Linked DNA regions of Tamandua tetradactyla. The protein of the gene in region 2 interacts with the protein of the main gene of each other region in a pairwise test. Links are inferred from orthologs where the notes say so. Each region holds a gene or a part of one and is shown on either strand. Other genes may lie near its edges.

Evidence for each region.
Region 1: the proteins of SDCBP2 (region 2) and LYAR interact in binary tests that used the Homo sapiens proteins (3 or more experiments, as listed by UniProt). The two-hybrid records come from large-scale screens. The link is inferred for Tamandua tetradactyla from reciprocal best matches to the Homo sapiens genes SDCBP2 and LYAR.
Region 3: the proteins of SDCBP2 (region 2) and NPM2 interact in binary tests that used the Homo sapiens proteins (3 or more experiments, as listed by UniProt). The two-hybrid records come from large-scale screens. The link is inferred for Tamandua tetradactyla from reciprocal best matches to the Homo sapiens genes SDCBP2 and NPM2.

What each region holds. Positions count from the first base shown.
Region 1 is NC_135345.1:8,752,438-8,756,185, reverse strand, and holds the start of LYAR (cell growth-regulating nucleolar protein), read right to left. Parts: upstream 2,657-3,748; 5' UTR 2,480-2,656; intron 2,474-2,479; exon of another isoform or gene 548-2,473; intron 1-547. UniProt on the Homo sapiens protein: Plays a role in the maintenance of the appropriate processing of 47S/45S pre-rRNA to 32S/30S pre-rRNAs and their subsequent processing to produce 18S and 28S rRNAs. Also acts at the level of transcription regulation.
Region 2 is NC_135327.1:23,223,048-23,226,795, reverse strand, and holds the start of SDCBP2 (syntenin-2), read left to right. Parts: upstream 1-1,379; 5' UTR 1,380-1,491; coding exon 1,492-1,502; intron 1,503-2,748; exon of another isoform or gene 2,749-2,881; intron 2,882-3,748.
Region 3 is NC_135329.1:22,658,052-22,661,799, reverse strand, and holds the start of NPM2 (nucleoplasmin-2), read right to left. Parts: upstream 2,900-3,748; coding exon 2,854-2,899; intron 2,710-2,853; coding exon 2,624-2,709; intron 2,480-2,623; coding exon 2,369-2,479; intron 1-2,368. UniProt on the Homo sapiens protein: Core histones chaperone involved in chromatin reprogramming, specially during fertilization and early embryonic development. Probably involved in sperm DNA decondensation during fertilization.

The DNA.
Region 1 (3,748 bases), on a different chromosome or scaffold from region 2:
ATTCAGCAATCATTTACTATGTGCTCAGTGTGCATCAGGTGCTATGCTTGGGTACCAGGCATCCAGATACACCCAAATGCCCCCACTCAGATTAGACCAGGTCCTCTGTACACCCTTCTGGATGACTATTCATTAGACTATTTGATTTCCTGAGCTCCCACAACTGAGAAGGAAATGAGGTGGGGCTGAAAAGAGATGTGCTCAGAGTGTTTCACATTTACAACCACAATTACACCCACCACATCCAAGACAGGTATGATCACACAACTACCACCAGTGAGAGAAAACCAAGGCTCAGAAAGTTTCGTTACCTGAAGTCAGAGAAAGTAGCAGAGGTGGCCTGTAATGCCAGGATACAACCCCAAGCCCCTGCTTCTTCATTTTTTTTTTCTTTTTTATTAGAGAAGTTATAAGTTCACAGAACTACTGCATAAAATAGTTTCCATATAGCGCCCTATTGTTAACACCTAGCATTCGTGTGATACATGTTACAATTCATGAAAATGCCTTTCTATAACTGTACTATTAACTATAGTCCATCACTTACAAAACGGCTCACTATGTTGCAACTGCCTGTCCATAATGACTTGTCATATCCTTGGCCATGTGCTTGGCTGTCACTCGGCTTGGGAACCTTCAGTTGCTCATCCAAAAAAAATCAAGGGCTCTAGAAGATGACCCTCCACTAAAAATTTTGAGGACCCTAAATCTTAATTCTAAAGACAACCACCCTGGGAAAGGAGGCCGACCATCCGTGTCACAGCTAAGGATGTAGGGTATTGGATAGCGATGCTGAACTAGTTGAGGGGCAGCAGCTAGCAAGAGGCTGGGAACTCAGGAAGGACTGTAGGCACTTTTATCCCCTCTCACCAAGATGGAGGCCACATTTGGGGCCAGGGAATCTGAGCTGGAGCCTGCATCTGCCAATTAAAACCCCAATGACCTTCAGCAACCTTAACTTCCCCAAATCTGATTCTTTTATCTGTAAAATGGGTCTAATATCTATTTTAGAGCACTATGTGGAGAGTTAAGTAAAATATCAGATGTGAAAGCTTCATCCTTATCCAACAATAGAAATGTTTCTCTGTGATTTATTTATCAATTTGCACATCAACACTATTGTACCCAGTCACCTCCCAAACCCATGCTCCTTTAAATAGGACCCTCAATCAACCTATCCAACTTTAAAAATTCACTCCAGAGGCAGTCTTATTCCTGTCTCCTCTGGCTCCTGACTCCACAGGCACCTACCAGACTGTTCCCTGTGAATATGACATTGGTTTGGTTCTGGTGATTGGGATTCACATTGATTTTTTTTTTTTTAATTTTTCTCCTTCCTCATTTTTGTATTGCTTAATTTTTTAATGAAAATAATTTTTAAAAAACATTATTTTTAAAACAGTCACACACACACAGACCCAAACTAGATCAGCACCCCTAAACAGGACACTTGGTCCTGTCAGCCAAGCAGTTCCCAGTCACCATCAACTCTGATCTTGAGTTCTCCCATCAGTGAGAAAAGGGCTCAAATCAATTACGCCAGCCCCAAGCCTCTTCCAAGGGTAAAATTCCACGACACCTAGAGCATGTGACTCATGGGAAGGTCAGACAAGTACACACTGTTACCACCCTGCCTAAACCCTAGCGTGTGCAGGTGAGGTCGGTCACAACGTGCACTCACACAGGACTTCCCCCTTGAACCATGCAAAGGACATTTATCTCCACATAACAGACGGGCAAACTGAGAAACAAAGTAATTAAGCCATGTGTCTCCACCTCCAAGTTCCAGCATCCTCCTCATTATATCACCTGCATTACTGGCATCCCGTCATCTCATATTATGTTATTACATGTTACTGTCATGTTATTCATAACCGTCTGGGGAAGTCTGTCATGTGCCCGGCACTGTGCTATACAGGTGGGGAAGACAGGCTTGCAACGGCACACCCCATCTCATTCCTCAGGGGTAGGCGCCGCAGAAAAATGCCTGACTCTTATATGCCTGTCACCCTCACAGGTGGTTAACGTGTCTGTGCCCATTTAACCCTCACCACGGTCCAGTGCGTTAGGTTCTGTACCGTTCCCTTTTGGCACATGAGGAAGGTAAAGTAATTTGGTCACACACACACAAAATGAATCCGGTCCTAAGCTCGTGCTCTAACCACAATGCCTGAGGCCTCCTCCTTGGGGACCGAGCTCCCCGAGACTCCGAAGAGCACCGCCCCCAACATGCAGCAAGCCCGAAGCCCGCCTTAAGCGGGATCCAGCTGCCCTGGGATGCCCAGGACTGAGGGGGTTCCCGGGACGCAGGACTTTCAGTTTTAAAACGGGGACTGAATAGGTCGCCCTAGGTCCAGGTCTCCTTCCACTTTTCCCCAGTCCGAATAAGATGTGAATGAATTTCCTTCTCCTTCCCAGGGTGGAAGCCAAAAGAGGGAATGCAGCCATCAGCCACACCGCCCGACCCTTCTTCACTCACTGCTCCTCTACTTCCTCCGTCGGGCCTGTGTGTCACCGCCCCTCACCTCTCAGCAGCCACCCGCCAACGATTTCAACCGGCCACGGAGAACACGTGCAATCGCTGCCGCCCGCCGCGCGCAGCCGTCACCGCCCTCCAGGGCTTCCCCGCGCAGAAATCGCGCTGGAGCCGGCCCGCGCGCCTGCGCACCACGGCCAAAATCCCTGCGGAAGTGACGCTACCGGAAGTCGGAGGGCGGTTCCGGCAGGTCAAGGGGGCGTTGTCGGGTGGTTCTGCTGCCGGCCAAGCCGGCGTTAAGGTGGTGGTGTCGGCAGGTGGAGAGGCTGCGGCGGGTCAGGGAGCGGCCTCCGGGGTAAGGTGGTCATAGGGCCTGGAGGCCGGCCTCCTAGAGGGCGCGCGGTCGGGTGGGAGAGGGAACCGTCAAGGAGGGGAGGCCGGGCATCCGAGGGTGGCCCCTGAATCCCGGCGGGGCTCTGCCCTGCCCCCACCCCCTTCTCCCGGGGCACTGCGAGGGTGAGTGGAGAGCTGTCCGCCTCCTGCGTGAGTTCACGAGTGACTGCCCTGTGCCAGACGGAGGGAAAGTTGAAGGAGACGCAAAAGACAGAACCTAGTCCGGGGAACCGGGCCTTCTCCCTCGTGCAGCCCCCTTGGCCTGAAACCCCACACTAGGTCTTTACCCGGCCTCCTCCTGCTCATTCCTCCAGACCGCTCAGCCGTCGCCTGCAGGAAGCCCATCTGACCCGCTCCCGCCCTCCGGCTACCCATTTCTGGATCCCTGTTTCCTTCTCTTACTGTAGTTGGGAGTAGTGCTTACAACAACAGAGTTCATAGTGTTGCGCAGTCTCTCATTACTGTGCAGGCTCTCTGTGCTCTGTTTCAGATCTGTAGAAGGGGGAATACCGGTACCTTAGGGGTGTTCATAAACCCATGCACAGGAAGTTCTCAGCACATGCTTGACTCTTAGTAAGTGCTCAGTAAAGGATAGTTGACGTTCTCAGAGCTCAGGGCAGGATCTGGCATATCGTGGGTGGCTACTAAGTGACTATTGTATGAATGAATGTTGAATAGGGTAGTTGAGTGGAGGTGTGAGACAGCATCCTGAAAAACATTCACTTTAGGGTGAGGGCATACCGGGATCAGCAAGATTTCACTGTAGAAGTGAGAGGTGTTGGGCCTGGAATAGAAGGACTCACTGGGATTTACAAGGAGGGAAATAATTCCCAGCAGAAGTGGGAGAATGGCAGAGGTTGAAAAGCAGGTGCTTGAGGT
Region 2 (3,748 bases):
TCAGTGCTTAATGTTTGTGGAATGTGTGATGAATGGGTGAACAGATGACACGCTGTGATCTAGAGACAGGAGGCGTGTCTACTTCTGCGGATGGGTGTTGGGGGCATTGGGAAAGGCAGCGAACTGAAGAAGAGTACAAGGGGGAGGGTGAAGGCACAAATGGCATTCAAGACAGAGGAAAGAGCACCTGGAAAAGCATCAAGACATGAAAGAGCAGGGTGAGCAAGCATTGTGGAATGAATGAAATGCAGGGTATGAGTGTAGAAGAATGAGGAATTGAGACTGGTGACATTACCAGAAGTCAGGTCAAGGAGCTTTGAAAGTCAAATTAACGTTAGAGATTTATTCTGAGGGCAAGAGCTGGAAATGGCTTCAAGAGGGAAAGGCAGGACGTGAGGATAATTTCCAGATTTCTGGCCCAGCCCAGGGGATGGGGTTAGTGGAGCCACCGTGGAATCCAGAGGGGAAGAAAAATGAGTTCAGTCTAGATGACCTGGGGGAGGTGGTTTCCAGGAGACAGCTGGACTCTTCAACCTGGGTCTCCCTATCCCTGTACAAGCACCCTCCACTCCCACCTATGGGAATCCTCCATCCTTCACTGTTTGGCCAGAGCCACCTGCCTTCTGCAGGAGACCTCTTGGTAGTCCTAGCCTTTCTCCGTACCCCCCTGACTCAGTGCCTACGTCCTTTATAATGGGCAGCGAGCCCGATTTCGCTGTGGTCTGCCCGGCAGCAGGGGTCCAATTAGTCACTTCTGGGTTGGTTCCCAGAGTGAATTTGCGTGGAGTAGAACAAGGCAACTTCAGTTCAACAATCAGTCAAGAGTCAAAGCCAGATAAGAAAAAGGTGGGGAAAAGGGTGGGTGGGACGGTGACGTAGGGGGCGAGAGGGATTCCTTTTCAGAAAAAGCAACAAGCAGAGGAGAGCGCAGGCGTCGACTCAGCCCTCCTCCCCTCCCCTAGCTGCCTTTGTACAGAATCTAATCTGTCAGAAGGGGGCGGATCAACCGCGCCCTCCTTCCTTCAGGAACCATAAAATGGCCGTAGGGGGCCAAGGCCGTGGGGAGACGAAGTGAAACCTGGGCCTTTAAGGCACTATTTGACCTGTGTCGCCTGCCATCCCGCAAAGAGGGACCTCAGAGCGCGTCCGAGCCTGCGTTACCCTACTGCTTTACCTGATCCCTTCTGGTAGATGCCGCCGCTGGCCACGGACGCCTGGAGAAAGAGTGAGGCCGGGTGGGCGGTTGTAACACACCCGGCCGAGAAAACACACCGCGAAGCGCCCGCCACTCTCTGCTCCGCCGCCGCGGGGCACCCTGGGAGCCGCCCGCCGCGGCGCATGCGCCCTAGATGCGCTGCTCTCGCGCGAGGTCTGGAGAGATCTCAGCGCAGGCGGCGTAGCCATGGTGCCGGGAGGTGCTACTTGCAGCCGGCTCCCTCGGGTTCCCGGGTGTTAGAGCGGCGAAGGGGTCGGTATGGGGCTCACTTGGGGATGGCTGAGCGGTATGACAGATGGAGAAACCGAGGCCGGGGGTGGAGGACAGGCCTTCGGAATTTCTGGGCTCTCACCGGCGCTCTAGCGGTGTGGAGTTTGTGGCTGGTTGTTGGGTCGCAAAGCGGGCGATAGTGGCACGGGGCGGGGTGGCCCGAAGATAGCGGCAGAGGCGAGGGTTCACCCTGGAGAGAAAGTCAGTGCAATATCCTGTCTTTAGTATAAAGGAGAAAATAAACTAATTTGCAGCGGAAGACAATATTTCTCTGTGTAAAGGCTCAGGCAGGGTTACTTCAAAAGATGCTTGTACTTACAATGAGGAAGTGTGGTCTTAATATAAGACAGCGTTCACGTAAAAATTGTCAACGTTTCATATTTGGAATTTTGAATCAAATACTAAGTGTATTTGTACCAAGCGGGAATCACTGTGTAAGCTATGAATACAGACATGGGCCGGTGGACCCAACTGGTGAGCAGGGTGAACAGGCATTTTCCAGAAAGGTGAACAAGGCCAAGTAGTACTTCCCTTAACTAACGTGTTATGTGCATTCCTGAGTAATACAGTATATATTAAAACTGGGAAATAGTTTACTGTATTTATATATAAACAGGTGTTAGGTCTTTTTGCTGACATGAAGCTCTTGCAGGACCTTTGAAAGTTGTGCAGGACAGAGGACAATTTGTTGTGGGGAACTGTGCTGAGCATTGCAAAAGGCCCAGATTCCTGCTCGTGGATGCCAGCAGTGTTTCGCCTGTCTTGTGACACCTCAGAACAGAGCTCTTCCCTGGATAATCACTGATTTGTTCAATCAAATGATAATTTTTGCCAGCAGACTGTGTCTTGGTGGAGAAGTATAGTGTGGTGAACAGGACACAGTCCTTGTCCTTGAGAAGCATATGCAGATGTTAGTGATACAGTACAACAAGTAGCTTGACAATAAGGGCAGTCAGGACAGGGTTGGAACACGCAAGAGGACCCAGCCAACTGGCAGGGTGGTGAAGGGCCTGGGAAAGCTAGACAAAGAAGTAGTGTTTGAACTGAGCATCACACAGAGAAGGCCGGTGTGTCAAGCAAAGGGACCATTAAGACTATGACACGTCCAGATGGCCTGGCACCCAGTAGGCATCCAGTAGAGGTTTTGAATGATTAGATGAGCGATGATTGAATGCGAACATGGGATAGTCGTTGGCAGGAAGCCATTTCCCACTGTATTGTGAACTGCTAAAAGGGAAATACCTGCTTCCTGACTCCCCCAGAGGCCAGCACCAAGTCGGGACCCAGAGAAGGTGGTGGCAGCAAATGGATCCAGACAAAGAAACAGAGCTGTGTATCCCTAGCCTGGGACTGATGTCCGGGAAGTGGGTCTCTACTTCTCTGCTCTGGTAGAAGGCAAGTACTAAAAATACAGCTGCAGTGCTGTTTAAATGTTAGAAAAAGCAGGGCAGGGGTGGCCTCTTATTTCCACATCTGTCATTCATCCATGATCTGGAGGCAGAGCATGTTGTCAGCAAATGGTAACTTCTGAGGACTGTGCTAAGATAAAGAGCTCTCAGAGTGGGTGCACAGTGGAGAAGGCCACAGGCTGAGGGTCCTTTCCCCCAGAAATCTCTCCCTAGAATAATCCCTGTCCTCCTGGGATGGTGGTGATTTCTGCCTCAGCAGCCAAGCTAGAGCAAGGATCTGGAACTGGCTGCCTCCAGGAGCCAAGCGGGCCATGCAAATCAGCAAAGGGCCAGGGGGCTATTTGGGGCAGCCCCTTCTGAAAAGCAGGCTGCTGCTCACCCTTACTGGGTATTGCCTTGCACAACTCCTGCTCTTGCGTGACCAAATATTTTGATTGTACAGGCTAGAAATGAAGATTTGTGTATGTACAGATTTTTTAGTATTGGCACTAATTCAGATATATATTTTGGCAAGAACCAGATGAAACACATTTGTAATCTTTGGTCTGTGTGTCCATACCAGGGAGTTGGGTGTTCGTAGGACATCACAGTTTTACTTTACAAGGAAAAGAGTGGAAGTTCAGGCAGAATGTAATGCTTCTGGCAATATTGAGATAATTTTCATGCTAGGCACTAGAGGTTCCACAGCTAATGAGAAAACCCAGTTCCTGTCGTTTTGGGATTTCCAACCCAAAGTAGATGGACGGAGAAGTAAAGAGACAAATGTATCATAGACTAATCAATAAGAGTAAAGACTTGCTGGGGAAGTACAGAGTAGTTTTAGGGGAAGGTGGGCATCAGTGCAGGCTTCCTG
Region 3 (3,748 bases), on a different chromosome or scaffold from region 2:
CACTTAACACTGGTGAACTTTATTGTATATAAATCACATCTAAATGAAACTGTTAAAAATATGGCCTCAAAGAACTAGAAAAATCTGAGTACACCTATAACCATTAGACAAATTACGACAGTTTAAAGACATACCAGCCCCACATAGTTCATTCATTTATTTACTCATTCATGACACGGAGTTCCTACAAGATGCAAGGCAGTATTAAATAAGTATTATGGATAATGCAGCAAACAAACAAACAAACAAACAAAATCCCTGATCTCTTGGAGCTTATATTCTGGTTGGCGAGAATGATTAAAAACAAATAAGAAACGGTGTTAGTTGTGGGCCCTGGCTGGGGAGGGAGAAGCGATTGTGGGTTGGGCCTCAGGAAAGGATGCTGTCTGAGGTTGCAGAGGACCTCTTGGACGAGATGCCATTTGAACAAAGACTGGATTGAAGCGGGAGAGCAGGCCAAGGGAATATGCATGGGGCACAGGAATTGGAAGGACCCTGAAGAGGGAGTGTTGGGAGTTTTCAGGGTACTGTCAAGGAAGCTAGTGTGGTTTAAACAGAGTTAGGGAGGAGAGAGGAGGAGAGGCTGAGGTCAGAGAAGTTGCTAAAGGCCAGAACATAAAGGGCTGGAGGCCACGGTAAGGAATTTGGATCTTATTCTAAGTAAAATGGGAAGCCAATGACCAAAGTGCTTTAGCAGAGAAGCAACAGAGACCTGATTGGTGTCTAAAAGGATCCTTCTGGCAGCTGTGTAGAGATTAGACCAGGAGTCAGCGAACTTTTGTGTAAGGGGCCAGACAGTAAGCATTTTAGGTTCATGAGCCATATATTCTCTGTCCAGACTATTCAACTCCGAAAGCCGCTATGAACACTGCATAAACAAACATGCATGCTGGGCTCCATTAAAACTTTGTTTACAAAAACAGACAATGGGCTGGCTTTATCCCTGCAGTTTTCCACCCTCTAGGACAGACTACAGAGGAACCAGGGTGAGGGCAGGCAGACGGTTGGGAGGCCCTGCAGTAGACTGGAGAAGGAGGCAATGGGGCCTGGAGCAGGGATAGCAGGGCAGGTGCTGGGAAGTGCAGGGTTCATCGTGAAGCAGGGCCTACAGGATTTGCTGGTGGATCGGGTTCAGATTCGGGGTTTGAGAGAAAGAGGTGATTGTCCTGACAAAGTGGAAGGACAGGCCTGCTATTTACTGAGGGGATCAGGCTTGGGGGAAAGATTTTAGATACAAATCAAGAATTTTGATTTAGTTATGTTAAGTCTGGGAACTACTAGGTATCTGTTAGACATATTGAGTATGTATATAGGACCCAGAGCTCTAGGAGTTGGGTGTAGAGATGGAGTTTTCAGAGTTCTCATTTTATAGATGGTCTTTAAAACACGGGGAGCATGAGGTCTCCTAGGAGTGTGCAGACAGGGAAGAAAATAGGCCTGAGAACTGTTTTACAGAGAGCTTCTCTGAAACCCTCAAGGGCAGGTGATCTTAATCTTATATACACTGCTCCAGAGAACAGGAGATGAAGGAAATTTATAGAGCAACCTCACTTATGAGTATATAAGTAAAAAAAAAAAAAAAAGGTCTACTAGCAGAGCAAACCTAGAGGTGTATAATATGATTAAGTAGTATTTAACTCAAGAATACAAAGATGGTTGAATATTGTTCTATTAATGTGTTTCACCACTTTAACAGATTAAATAAGGAAGGACCCACAGTCACATCAATAGAAAATCGTTTGAAAAAAACTGTAACCTCCAATCATGATTAAAAAGAAATAAAAAAACACATTAAAAAAACCAAACAAGCAAAAAAAAAAAAAAAAAAACTAGAGCCGGTCTGGATAGGGACTTCCTTAACCTGACTTGAATATGAAATATTTGGTAGATTTAGAAGCATTCCCTTTTAAAATCAGGAATGAGACTAGCACATCCACGATTATGACGTGTATCCAATATGATTTTGGACGTCCCAGCCAGTAGAGTAGGACAACAAATAAAAAGACACAAAAACTGCCATTATTCACAAACAACGGTCATGCATAAATTGAGAAAACCCAACATAAATTATTAGAATTAATAAGAGAATTTCTGGGTACACAATCAATATGCAAACCAGTGCTCCCGTCACCAGCACTAAGTGGCACAAAAACGTGACCTTGGAGGAGAGGTTCTCTAACTGGACTGGTCATGGGTGAGGCTGGACGGGGAGCTTCCTGGGTGCAGGCCCTCAGTCCCAGGCTGTACTGCCTCTCCAGCACGGCTGCGCCTGTCCCAGGGCCACACCGTACCCAGGGGGTGTGGCCAGAGCGAGGCCCCCGTGTGTGTGATGGGCAGAGGTTGTCCCAGGGCTGCAGGGCAGGCTCACCATGGGCAGGATGGACGCCTGGAGCGAGGCAATGGTGACCGGCGACTCCTTCGCTGGGGGCAGGACCTCCACGAGGTTCATCTCATTTTTGGCTTTCTCCCCCAGGCAGATCTGAGAGGGGTTGGCGCAGACAGGGGGACCTCATCACCCTGAGGGCAGGTGGGGGCAACCCCGTTTTCACTTGTTTGGACTGGACAATCCCACCTCCTCCTCTGAAGGAGGCTGGGTTTCTCACCTCGCCTGGGGGGCACCCACCGTACTAAGCATCAGCTTACAGTCCTGCTTTCCCGCCAGCTGGGGCTGGAAGGTCCAGGCTGGCTTCTCCTGATTGAGCTCGCAGCCTGGGAAGGAAGTGAGAGAGGGGCGTGGGGGCAGAGTGGTGCTCCCTCGCTCCCCTCACCTCTCAGGGTGACATAGCATCAGCACCTCCCCAGGTGCTGGCTCCTGCCCTGGATGGAAGGTGGGCAGCCTGAGGCCTAACTCACCCCAGAGCATGGTGGTTATTGCCTTTTCAAATCTGCTGCGGTTCATGATGTGGGATGGAGCTGGGGAGACTGGGGCAGCTGTGAAGACTGGGAGCCTGAAGGTAGGGAGAGGGTGCTGGACACGGTCAATTGGCTCACTAAATTCCTGGACCACAAGTACTATCCGACCCCCCACCCCCCGCCAGAGCAGCCCAGACCTGAGCTGGAGACACACACAACGGAAGCACGCATCGGGTGAATGAAGAGTTAGTTCGGCCCCAAGCTTGAAAGGCTTCTATGGGATTTCCTGGCTTCCCTTTTGGGGTATGGCCTTACCTACACCTTTGGGGAGAGCTCCCAGGGAGTGTGCAAGAAAGGTGGGGTCTGTGCCCATTTTGGTCCCAGTTACCCTGGGTGCTGGTCCGCTCTCAGCGCTTCTCAACCTTCCTGGCTTTACCCTGTGCTGCCGCTCAGGCCATCAGCTCCTGCTGGGAGCTCTCCCCCGCCAGAGCTCGCTCAGGCCAGCCTAGTCCCTGTGTCACCTGAGGCCAGGGCAGCCCACAGCAGGCTGCAAGGGAGCCTGGGACGGGGCAGGCTGGCAGGGTTCTAGGTGGCTTTAAAGAAGAGGCCCTTCTTTACTCTCTCCATTCTTCTGTTCTCCCCTCCTCTTTGGGCCCCAGAATCACCTGGAGGGCTTGTTAAAACACTGATTACTGGGCCCCACCCCCAGAGTTTCCGATTTGGTAGGTCTGGATGGGACCAAGAGAATTTGCATTTCTAACAAGCTTCCAGGTGAGGGTGATGCTGCTGGTCCAGAGATTCTACCGTGAGGACTGCTCCAGCAGGCCCAGGAGGGAGCCCTTTCCACCCAGCCTTGGGGGGTTTTGCAGCACAGTGAAGCAGCGGCATTAGGTGC